Linked DNA regions of Oryzias latipes. The protein of the gene in region 1 interacts with the protein of each later gene in a pairwise test. Links are inferred from orthologs where the notes say so. Each region holds a gene or a part of one and is shown in the gene's direction. Other genes may lie near its edges.

Region 1 (3,818 bases):
AGCTCTCACATTCTATATTATAAGTTCTCACATCAAATCTACTGGAACATATCTACCTTCATAGAAACAGCCAACCATAAATGTGCTCACTTGTATGGTTCTGCTGTTATCAGACAGGGTGGTGTTTTTCACATACCTGACATGTTTGGAGAGACGGAGGGAAGACGTCTGTCCAAACATGTCAGGTATGTGAAAAACACCACCGTGTCTGATAACAGCACAACCCAGGAAGTCGGTTAGTAATACAGACGCTATGAACTTTACTGAACAAATGTGCTCAGCACAGCAGAGATTGTGTGGAGGATCAAACCGTCTCAGTCACAGCTGAGCTTCTGCACAATATGCAAATGTTTTTAATCTCATTGGAAAAACTGTCCAAAGTTTCTGCTATTACCTCAGCCTAAACAATCAGCATTGATGGCTTCACTTCCACAGAAGATCGTGGCTATGTCCAAATTCCTGCCCTACTCACTATGTAGTGCGTTTGCCATTTTGTAGTGCTGGCTCTACTGGTCATTGACTGTGCTGTTCAGACGTTTTTCAGAGACTGTGCTGATGAAACAAAGAAGTAGGTGTCATGAACTTGTTTCTGTCTTGAAGGTGATCATTGGAATGACTCTTTTGTCTGGAGATCCCTGTTTCAAGAGGTGAGTGCCCCACATGCTGGCGTCCAACGCCGTCTTTGATGGATTGTTTGAATGTTCTGGATTTATGTCATAAGATATGAAGGACAAAACATTCCTAAAGGGAAAAAAACTATCAACTCAAACTTAAACTGGAGCTGCTTTTAACTATAACCATAGATGGAAAATGTTCCTTATTTTTGGATTGGTAAATATTGACAGTTAACCAGCTTTTAACAAGCTTTTGACAGATTTAATTCCTAATGACACCATCATATGAGTAATCGATGAGTCCTGAAGTTATGAGATCCGTTTCATTCTTTTTTCAGGAAGGTTTTCAAAGATCTCAGTCCAAATGTCGTTACAGAAGCACAGATATTCCATAAAACATCTGTCTTTTAGGTCGCTGAGGACAATTTAAGAAGAAACCATATATTTGAGCTGATTTTTACTGGGGAGCAGCTAAAATCCATCTGAATTTTTTTTTTAAATGTTTTGAATTTAAAAAAAAATATGTTTGTGTCCATGTTTCTTTGTTCAATTAAGACAAGTTTAGCTCCAAACTGGACAGATTTTACTGTTACAGTGGGGGTTTATGTATCTTCAGACAAACAAAGTATATTTGTATAAACCCCTTTTGGATTTGAGGCTAAACTTTATCTATGATCATTATATTTGAAAGAAGAGAGAAAGAAATGGAGTGGGATGTTAGAGATGGGGGGGGTAAGGGATTAGAATGGGGGGGGGCAGTCGATAATACAAAGTCAAAACATAAGATGTGCACTACTACTTACAGGTTGGAAGTATATTCATACATTGATGATGGAAGATGTGTCTCACTAGACTTCTGCACACAGACAGCTAAACACTAGATCCGCATTACTAATATTCTTGAGGGGGGGGTCCAAACAACCCCCATGCCCATATTTGTGCAAAAGTGAAGAAGGATATTTCAGATTTCTTTTTTTTTTTCAAGTTAAAGGGTGTGAATATTTTCTGTACATAAAACACATGCATGCATGCACACACACACTCACACACCCACAGGGCTACCATAATCTGCACTGTAATTATGACCCCCCCCCACCCCCAGAGAGAGTTGGTTCTGGCTTGTTTTCTTCAGAAACAGCAGACGTGCCTTTCACTCCTTCTGCTCTGCTGCTGCTTCCAGAAGAATCTGTCAGTCCTGGACCGTGTTTCTGCATTCACGCCCCCCAGACATTTACTGCTGCAGTCACTTGAAATACTTCAGCTGCTGCGCTGATTTCAACACTGGGCCTCATCTGACCCGAGCCCCCCCCCCCCCCCCCCCCCCCCCCCCCCCCCCCCCCCCCCCCCCCCGAGCTCATTTCATCTGCTCCAGATTGATCAACTCTCTGGTTCCTTCTCTTTCCCCCCTGCAGGCCTCCAAGCACAGCAAAGTCCATCTCTGTCCCCGGACAGGAGCACGCCCTGCAGCTGGACTGTAAGGGGGAGGGAACGGCCGAACCCGGACCGGCCGTGGGGGTTTCTCTGGGGCGGGCCCCAAAGCCTCGGCCTTCCATCATCAGCTCGGGTACGGCAGATAGCAGTCGGGTTTGAACAGATGTGGCCTTTGGTGGTGCCGTGTTTTGAATCACACCCCACAGTGGGAGGAAATCCCAGAGTTCTTGGGTCAGACGTTTCCACACAGAGGTGGAGCTGCACAAACCAGGAGTGTCTGCGGAAACAGACTGTTTGATAAGGCAGAGAAACCCAAAACACGTCGGGTCGAACGTGTTCACCAGCTTTAACTTGTGACTTTCCTTCTACACAGAAGCTAAACACCAACATGTGGATTTTCTCATTATACCAGGAAACGGCATTGAACCTGCTGACAAGGCCACAAAAAGATGTTAGCTGGGACTAATCAGATTACTGCGAGTAATCTGCTCATTGAATGGGGCTCGTGCTCCTCAGGTTTTTGTCAGCTGGGGGAGAAAGTGACTTCTGCAGACACGAGGGGTTCCTGTCTTTGTGTTTGACTTCCTCTGGTCTCCTCCAGGTTTGCTGGATGAGACAGAGGGGAACCAGAACCAGTCCTCTTCCACAGAAGCGTTCCAGTCCGGTCACTCTCGGAACTCCAGTTACGCCAGCCAGCACAGCAAAATCTCAGGTCAGCGTTCCACTTTAGCACTTTACCAAATGTGTCTCAGTAAAGCTGCAACAATTGAAACAAATCAAACACTTTGGGGGAAAGTTCTTCAAAGACGCAGGTCATCGGCATCTTCGGGGTGTCTTTTAAGCATGTTTTGCTCTAAGAGGATCCTGTTGAGCCATTAAATGAGAACTTCTCGTTTCTATATTCACGATGCTGAAAAGCCTCTGAAGGCTCCGATTCATCCAGGTGGAGTTTTTCATTCCCGTCTTTCTTAGGATGTTGTTTTTTTCAGGGAAATTGCAGCAAAATCACAGATTTTTTGGGGGGAAAACCTGAATAAGAATCCATGTTATAAAAGGGCTGCACCGGTGGGACAGTGGTTAGAGCTCTTGGCTCACAGGAAGAAGGCCCCCGGTTCAAGTCCCGGCTGGGGGACCTGAACTAGAACCTCAATGGGGGGGGCCTTTCTGTGTGTTTCTGTGTGGAGTTTGCATGTTCTCCCCGTGCATGCGTGGGTTTCCCGGGGTCTCCGGCTTCCTCCCCCTGTCCAAAAACATGCTTCATAGGTTCATTGGAAACTCTAAATTGACCCTAGGTGTGAGTGTGAGAGTGACTGAATGTGTGATTGTGGCCCTGCGACAGAGACAGTGTACCCCGCCTTCGCCCATAAGTGGCTGGGATAGGCTCCAGCAGCCTGTGACCCCGAAAGGGACAAAACGGTAGAAAATGAATGAATGTTATTAAAGTGTAGATGTCATTTTTGATACTAGCTTGGACATTCATTTGTTCTTTTTTCAAAACATTCCCAGTGGTTTTCAGGTGATAGTTATGTTGGCGGAGGTCTTTCATGAAAAAGTAAAAGTTTGCAGTAAGATGAGCTCAGACTGAGTCTGTCTCAGCAGAGACAGCAGCTGTGGGCTACAGGTTTGTTGGGGAACGTTTGGCTTTGGTTAATGAAAGGGCTCTTATGTGCGCGCACATCGACGTGACTGTTAACCCAGTTTAACCAGTTGAGATGAGGACATGGTGGGAGGCTCGAAGGTTCTGTTCCCGGGATGCTGAAGTTCCTAAAATGC
Region 2 (4,479 bases), on another chromosome or scaffold:
CAGTTTTGGCTTAATTTAGTCGGAGAAAATTATTATTTATCCAACACTTGAATGAATCCAGACACCTGCGTAAAATCTGCATTTTAAAAACATTCTGGGGTTTAAAGGACACATAAAGCTGAAGATCATCAGCATAAAAATGATAAGAAACATCGTTAAAAGAACTCAAAATGTGCTGGAAAGGCATTAGATATAAAATGAACAATAAAGGTCCCAAAACTGAGCTTTGTGGAACACCGGAAGTGAGGGATGCAGAAGAGGACTTGAACTTTGAAAAAACAACAGAATATATGCATTTGTACAACTGGTAACATTATAAAGACCCTATCCTGAAAAAAAACAAGACTAAAGTGTAAGTTTTCAACGTAAAACTTGAATTTATACTCATTCAAAACCATAGATATCTGTTACACATAAAATAAAGTTATGAAGTTTATAGCCTACTTATAAATGAAGAATAGGAAGAATAAAAAGCTACTGGAATCAGATTGTAAGCATGTTTTTTGTTGTTGTTAAGTTGAAACATTTTCATGACAGTGAATGTGAACTGACTAGTTTCAGTCAGTAACTATGATTGACAGACCTTTACCAGTTACTGATGTTACATAATGACTGCTTTACCAACCAAGCTAACCTTAGATTCCCTTAAAATGATGTAAAAATATGAAAGTGTTTGACAAAGCAAACTTAGCCAAGAGAAAAATATCTAGGAAGATTCAGATTTGAACCTTGGTTGGTTGTAAAGCTAGGAGTTTTAAAAAAAGGCTAAAATTGTCACTATTGAAAAGTTATTTCAGGAAAGTAAAGGAAAATAAACAAATGAATCATTTCCAAAACCCTCTCAGACATATTTAAAAACTGTAGCTAATTTCTTTTAACCCAAAATGGCAGTAAAAAATACAAGATATTTTAAGAAACCTTTGGATTTGCCTTCTCTCCACCAAAAAGATGAAAAATAATCCCTTTTATCATTTAATATTAATGCCAAAAATTAACATCTGTAACACCGTGACATAACACACTTTACATTGGTACCTTTCACTTATGTGAATCTCCATTAATGCATCGTTGAGTCATTCTTGCTGCCACTCAGACAAATATTTCTCAGGGAAAGCCTTTCTTTATCTCAGTAACACATTACCAAACCACAGACCTAGTGGTGAAGCTACAGTTCCAGACAGAGGGTGCAGGTGCTGTTATGCCAGCTTAAAACATTCTGCACAACATGGAACCCACAGCTTTGAGCTGTTCCTGTCGACATTGTCTACAGGAGGAACAAACTGTAAAAAGACCAGCTGCGTAGCTGCAGATTTCTTGCTGGATTGACTGGAGGTTTATGATGAAATCATGATTAACTAATCAAAAAATGTATTACCGCAAGCACCTTTCCTGAGTGTCTGTAAATGGGAAGCACTCCAGTTTGCTTTACAACATCCTTTCTGCCAGTTAAAATGTTATCAGCGATGGTAGAGAAACTGCACAGGAAACAGTCACCCATGCTCCTGCTCCTCCCCACTGTGTGCAAATGTTTAAATGCACGGAAGTCAGGTTGGAGTAAAAAAAGTGTTTCGTTGCTGTGATCTGAGAGCGTTGATGAGCATCTAGCTCTTGTTTGGGTCATGAACAGAGACTGAATGTAAATACTTTCTGGGGTCAAATCAAAGTGTGAAGAGGCAGGAATCGTGTTGGACACGCAAAGGCAAGGGATGGGGACATGCCTGCAAGACTTCAGGAGACTCTTGGATGGTAACATCTTTTTCTTGCATCTCATTAGATTATTTTTTCAAATCAGATTTACAAAATAAAACTACTGTGTTTTTAGCGTTATAGCTGTGATTCTATTCCCCCAGAAGCATCAGGAGAATATGAAATTCATTTCTAAAAAAATGATTGTTAGCAGAGAAATAAAAAGTTGGCAGTTTTATGTTTCTCCTAAACTCTCTATTGTGTAAAGATGTTTCCAACCTGGTGACACCATGGCATTTATTTGCATAATCATCCAGATAAAGGAACATGACCTATGACAGATCATTTGCATGTGTCAAGTTATTTGTTTATCATTTGAGGGAAATCAGATAAGCCATGTGGACTAACCCATTCGCTCATTGTTCTGGCAAAGATTAGTATTTTCTTTTTGAACCATTTAAAACCTGCTGTTGATATAAATTAAATGCAAAAGACATATTTGGTTTTTCTCTTATGGCTCTAGTTGTACACATTTCTTTAAAAGTAACGTGGTAGTAACCCAGAGAAGAAGCACTTTTAGAAGTAGAAAACACGATGAAAAAAGGCTTCTAGATTACTTTGAGTCAACATTCTCAGTCAGTGAACTTCATAGGAACCCAAGATCAAAATATGCACAAAGAAACCTCAACTTGGAGCTCAAATGAAACACTTCAAACCCTCAAATGCACATGTAGGCCAGTGCCATGTTGAAAGTTGCCACGTCTGAACATATAATATAGCCTAAAGGTATACTTTTTTAACTTTGTCCCTCTAAAAGAGAACCCAACTCATAGTAAATTGTTGTACTCCTCAGATTGCGAACTGTTTATTTTTGAGATCCTTCAAGATGAGAACCTAAGTGAAAGTGCTGAAAAAACACGCCAGGTCCTTTTGAATAACTTCAGAGTCGTTCATGCAAGGTAGGTGTTCATTTTGAAGCAACAGTGCGTCATTTGTTACCTCTGAAATATTCCAGGTTGTGTTTATTGGTGTCTCCTTAATCTGAGTGATTTTAGTTGGATAAGTCCTTAAAAGAAAAAAACTATGATTAAAAAAAATGTAATTTCCAAGCAGGAGTTGCACATAAACTCAAGTGAAACCCTTGTCTCAGTGTGTTCTCCGGAAGCCGACACTGTCTGCACTGCAAACCTTACTGAAGTTCTGTTCCTTTGTGGCTTTGTGGTCTCTGCATGACACATTTACAGACTTCTTGAAGCCATCATAAACTTAATAAGACAAAAAGAATCAAGTGTTAGTTTAGTGCTTGAGATTGATCTTTTCTTGTTGTTTTGTACAGAAATCCTCAAGAATTCCCCTTGCGATGTAAGTAACAAATCCTCATTTGTTACAATGTACCCCCTGTGGCTAATTCTGCCACACACTTCCCTTAAAGTATCCTCACATGTTTTTGATTCATCCCTTTTTTTAAATGTTCTCCAACTCTCAGTGGACTTCAGGGAGGAAGATGTTTCTGATGATAACCGCAGTTCCAGCCTGGGTCGCTCTGCCCCTTCCGACGACGCTTCAGTGGCTTCTGACTACCAGGATGATGTTCCAGACTGTGAGTTAACAGTAGTTCTGTCTCACTCTTTAAGATTGTGTGGGTCACAGTGGGATATAATGTAGACGCCTAAACTGAAGATGACCTCTTTCTTCTGTCACTTGAAGGCTCTTTTTTTCTGCTAAAACAGTGTGGAAACACCTTAACAACATTTAAGCCACAACAACGTGTCTTTAATATTATTTTCAATCTTCTATCCTGATGAAAAAAAAACCTCAAAGCAGCACAAAATTCACAGACACCACTGATGTTATCTTGTGGAAAATCATCAGTTCTCTGTTCTCGACATTGAAACAGCACAAAGTGAGAGGACCAGATGGAGTATTTTGCCATATAATGTTCTACATCCTCTTGATTTGAAAAAAGCAGACCACATCTGTGAAATGTTCCTCATTCCTGCCTCCCTCCTCTCCATCCAGTGACATAAGTGGCTCCTCCTCCCACGCTTCTCCCTCCTGGCTACTTTGCAGGTACTCTGACACTGGAGAAAGGGAGGCTGGTGGTTCAGAAGGACTTGTATGATGACCTACAGCTCCCTCCAGTGGCAGGTCCAGAGCTTTCATGTTGCACATGGATGGTGTGAGGCGAAATCCCACACAGAGAGGAAGCTTTGTAGCTTCAGGCTAATGCAGTGATTTATTGACCTCAAGCCCCTTCTATTCTTTCTCAACCGGGTTTGAAATACAACACTGTACCTGAGGGGCCGTGTGTGTTCATCCTTCTCTCCCTTTATCAGTCTTTCTTTCTATCTTTCTTCCTCCTGTTCAGATGGAGAATTCCTGACTATATGTACCAGTTAATAGTCTTTGACGTGCCGCAGGTGGGCATTACAGACTCCGCTGCCTCAGGTGCTCTGCTGTTGTTTTTTTTTTTGTAAGGTAAAGCAGAAGATATGTAAAGATTTCACCCTGAAAAAGGTCATTCTTTTAAGTTATTTTCAAACGAAGACATTTAGTAACAGCTGGATATTGTTTGAGCCCGATCTGTTATTTCAAAATGTCCCCATTTTTTGCTGCATCCAACAAAAAGGAACAGCTATTTTTCTGCCTAATAACTGAAAAAAAAACATCAATCACAGCAAATGGTGTAAATATGGACCACGATAAAATAAGACAATACAGACTAATTTGGGAAAATTGTGGAATAATGTGAGATTTCCTTTGGGAAACAAAAGAAAATAAAAGCATGACACC

What was found.
Region 2: the proteins of fam102a (region 1) and skap1 interact in binary tests that used the Homo sapiens proteins (3 or more experiments, as listed by UniProt). The two-hybrid records come from large-scale screens. The link is inferred for Oryzias latipes from reciprocal best matches to the Homo sapiens genes EEIG1 and SKAP1.

What each region holds. Positions count from the first base shown.
Region 1 is NC_019867.2:32,086,583-32,090,400, reverse strand, and holds part of fam102a (protein FAM102A), read left to right. Parts: intron 1-600; coding exon 601-647; intron 648-2,026; coding exon 2,027-2,178; intron 2,179-2,646; coding exon 2,647-2,757; intron 2,758-3,818. UniProt on the Homo sapiens protein: Key component of TNFSF11/RANKL- and TNF-induced osteoclastogenesis pathways, thereby mediates bone resorption in pathological bone loss conditions.
Region 2 is NC_019877.2:19,113,799-19,118,277, reverse strand, and holds the start of skap1 (src kinase-associated phosphoprotein 1), read left to right. Parts: upstream 1-1,545; 5' UTR 1,546-1,706; coding exon 1,707-1,746; intron 1,747-2,539; coding exon 2,540-2,645; intron 2,646-3,022; coding exon 3,023-3,048; intron 3,049-3,172; coding exon 3,173-3,286; intron 3,287-4,479. UniProt on the Homo sapiens protein: Positively regulates T-cell receptor signaling by enhancing the MAP kinase pathway. Required for optimal conjugation between T-cells and antigen-presenting cells by promoting the clustering of integrin ITGAL on the surface of T-cells.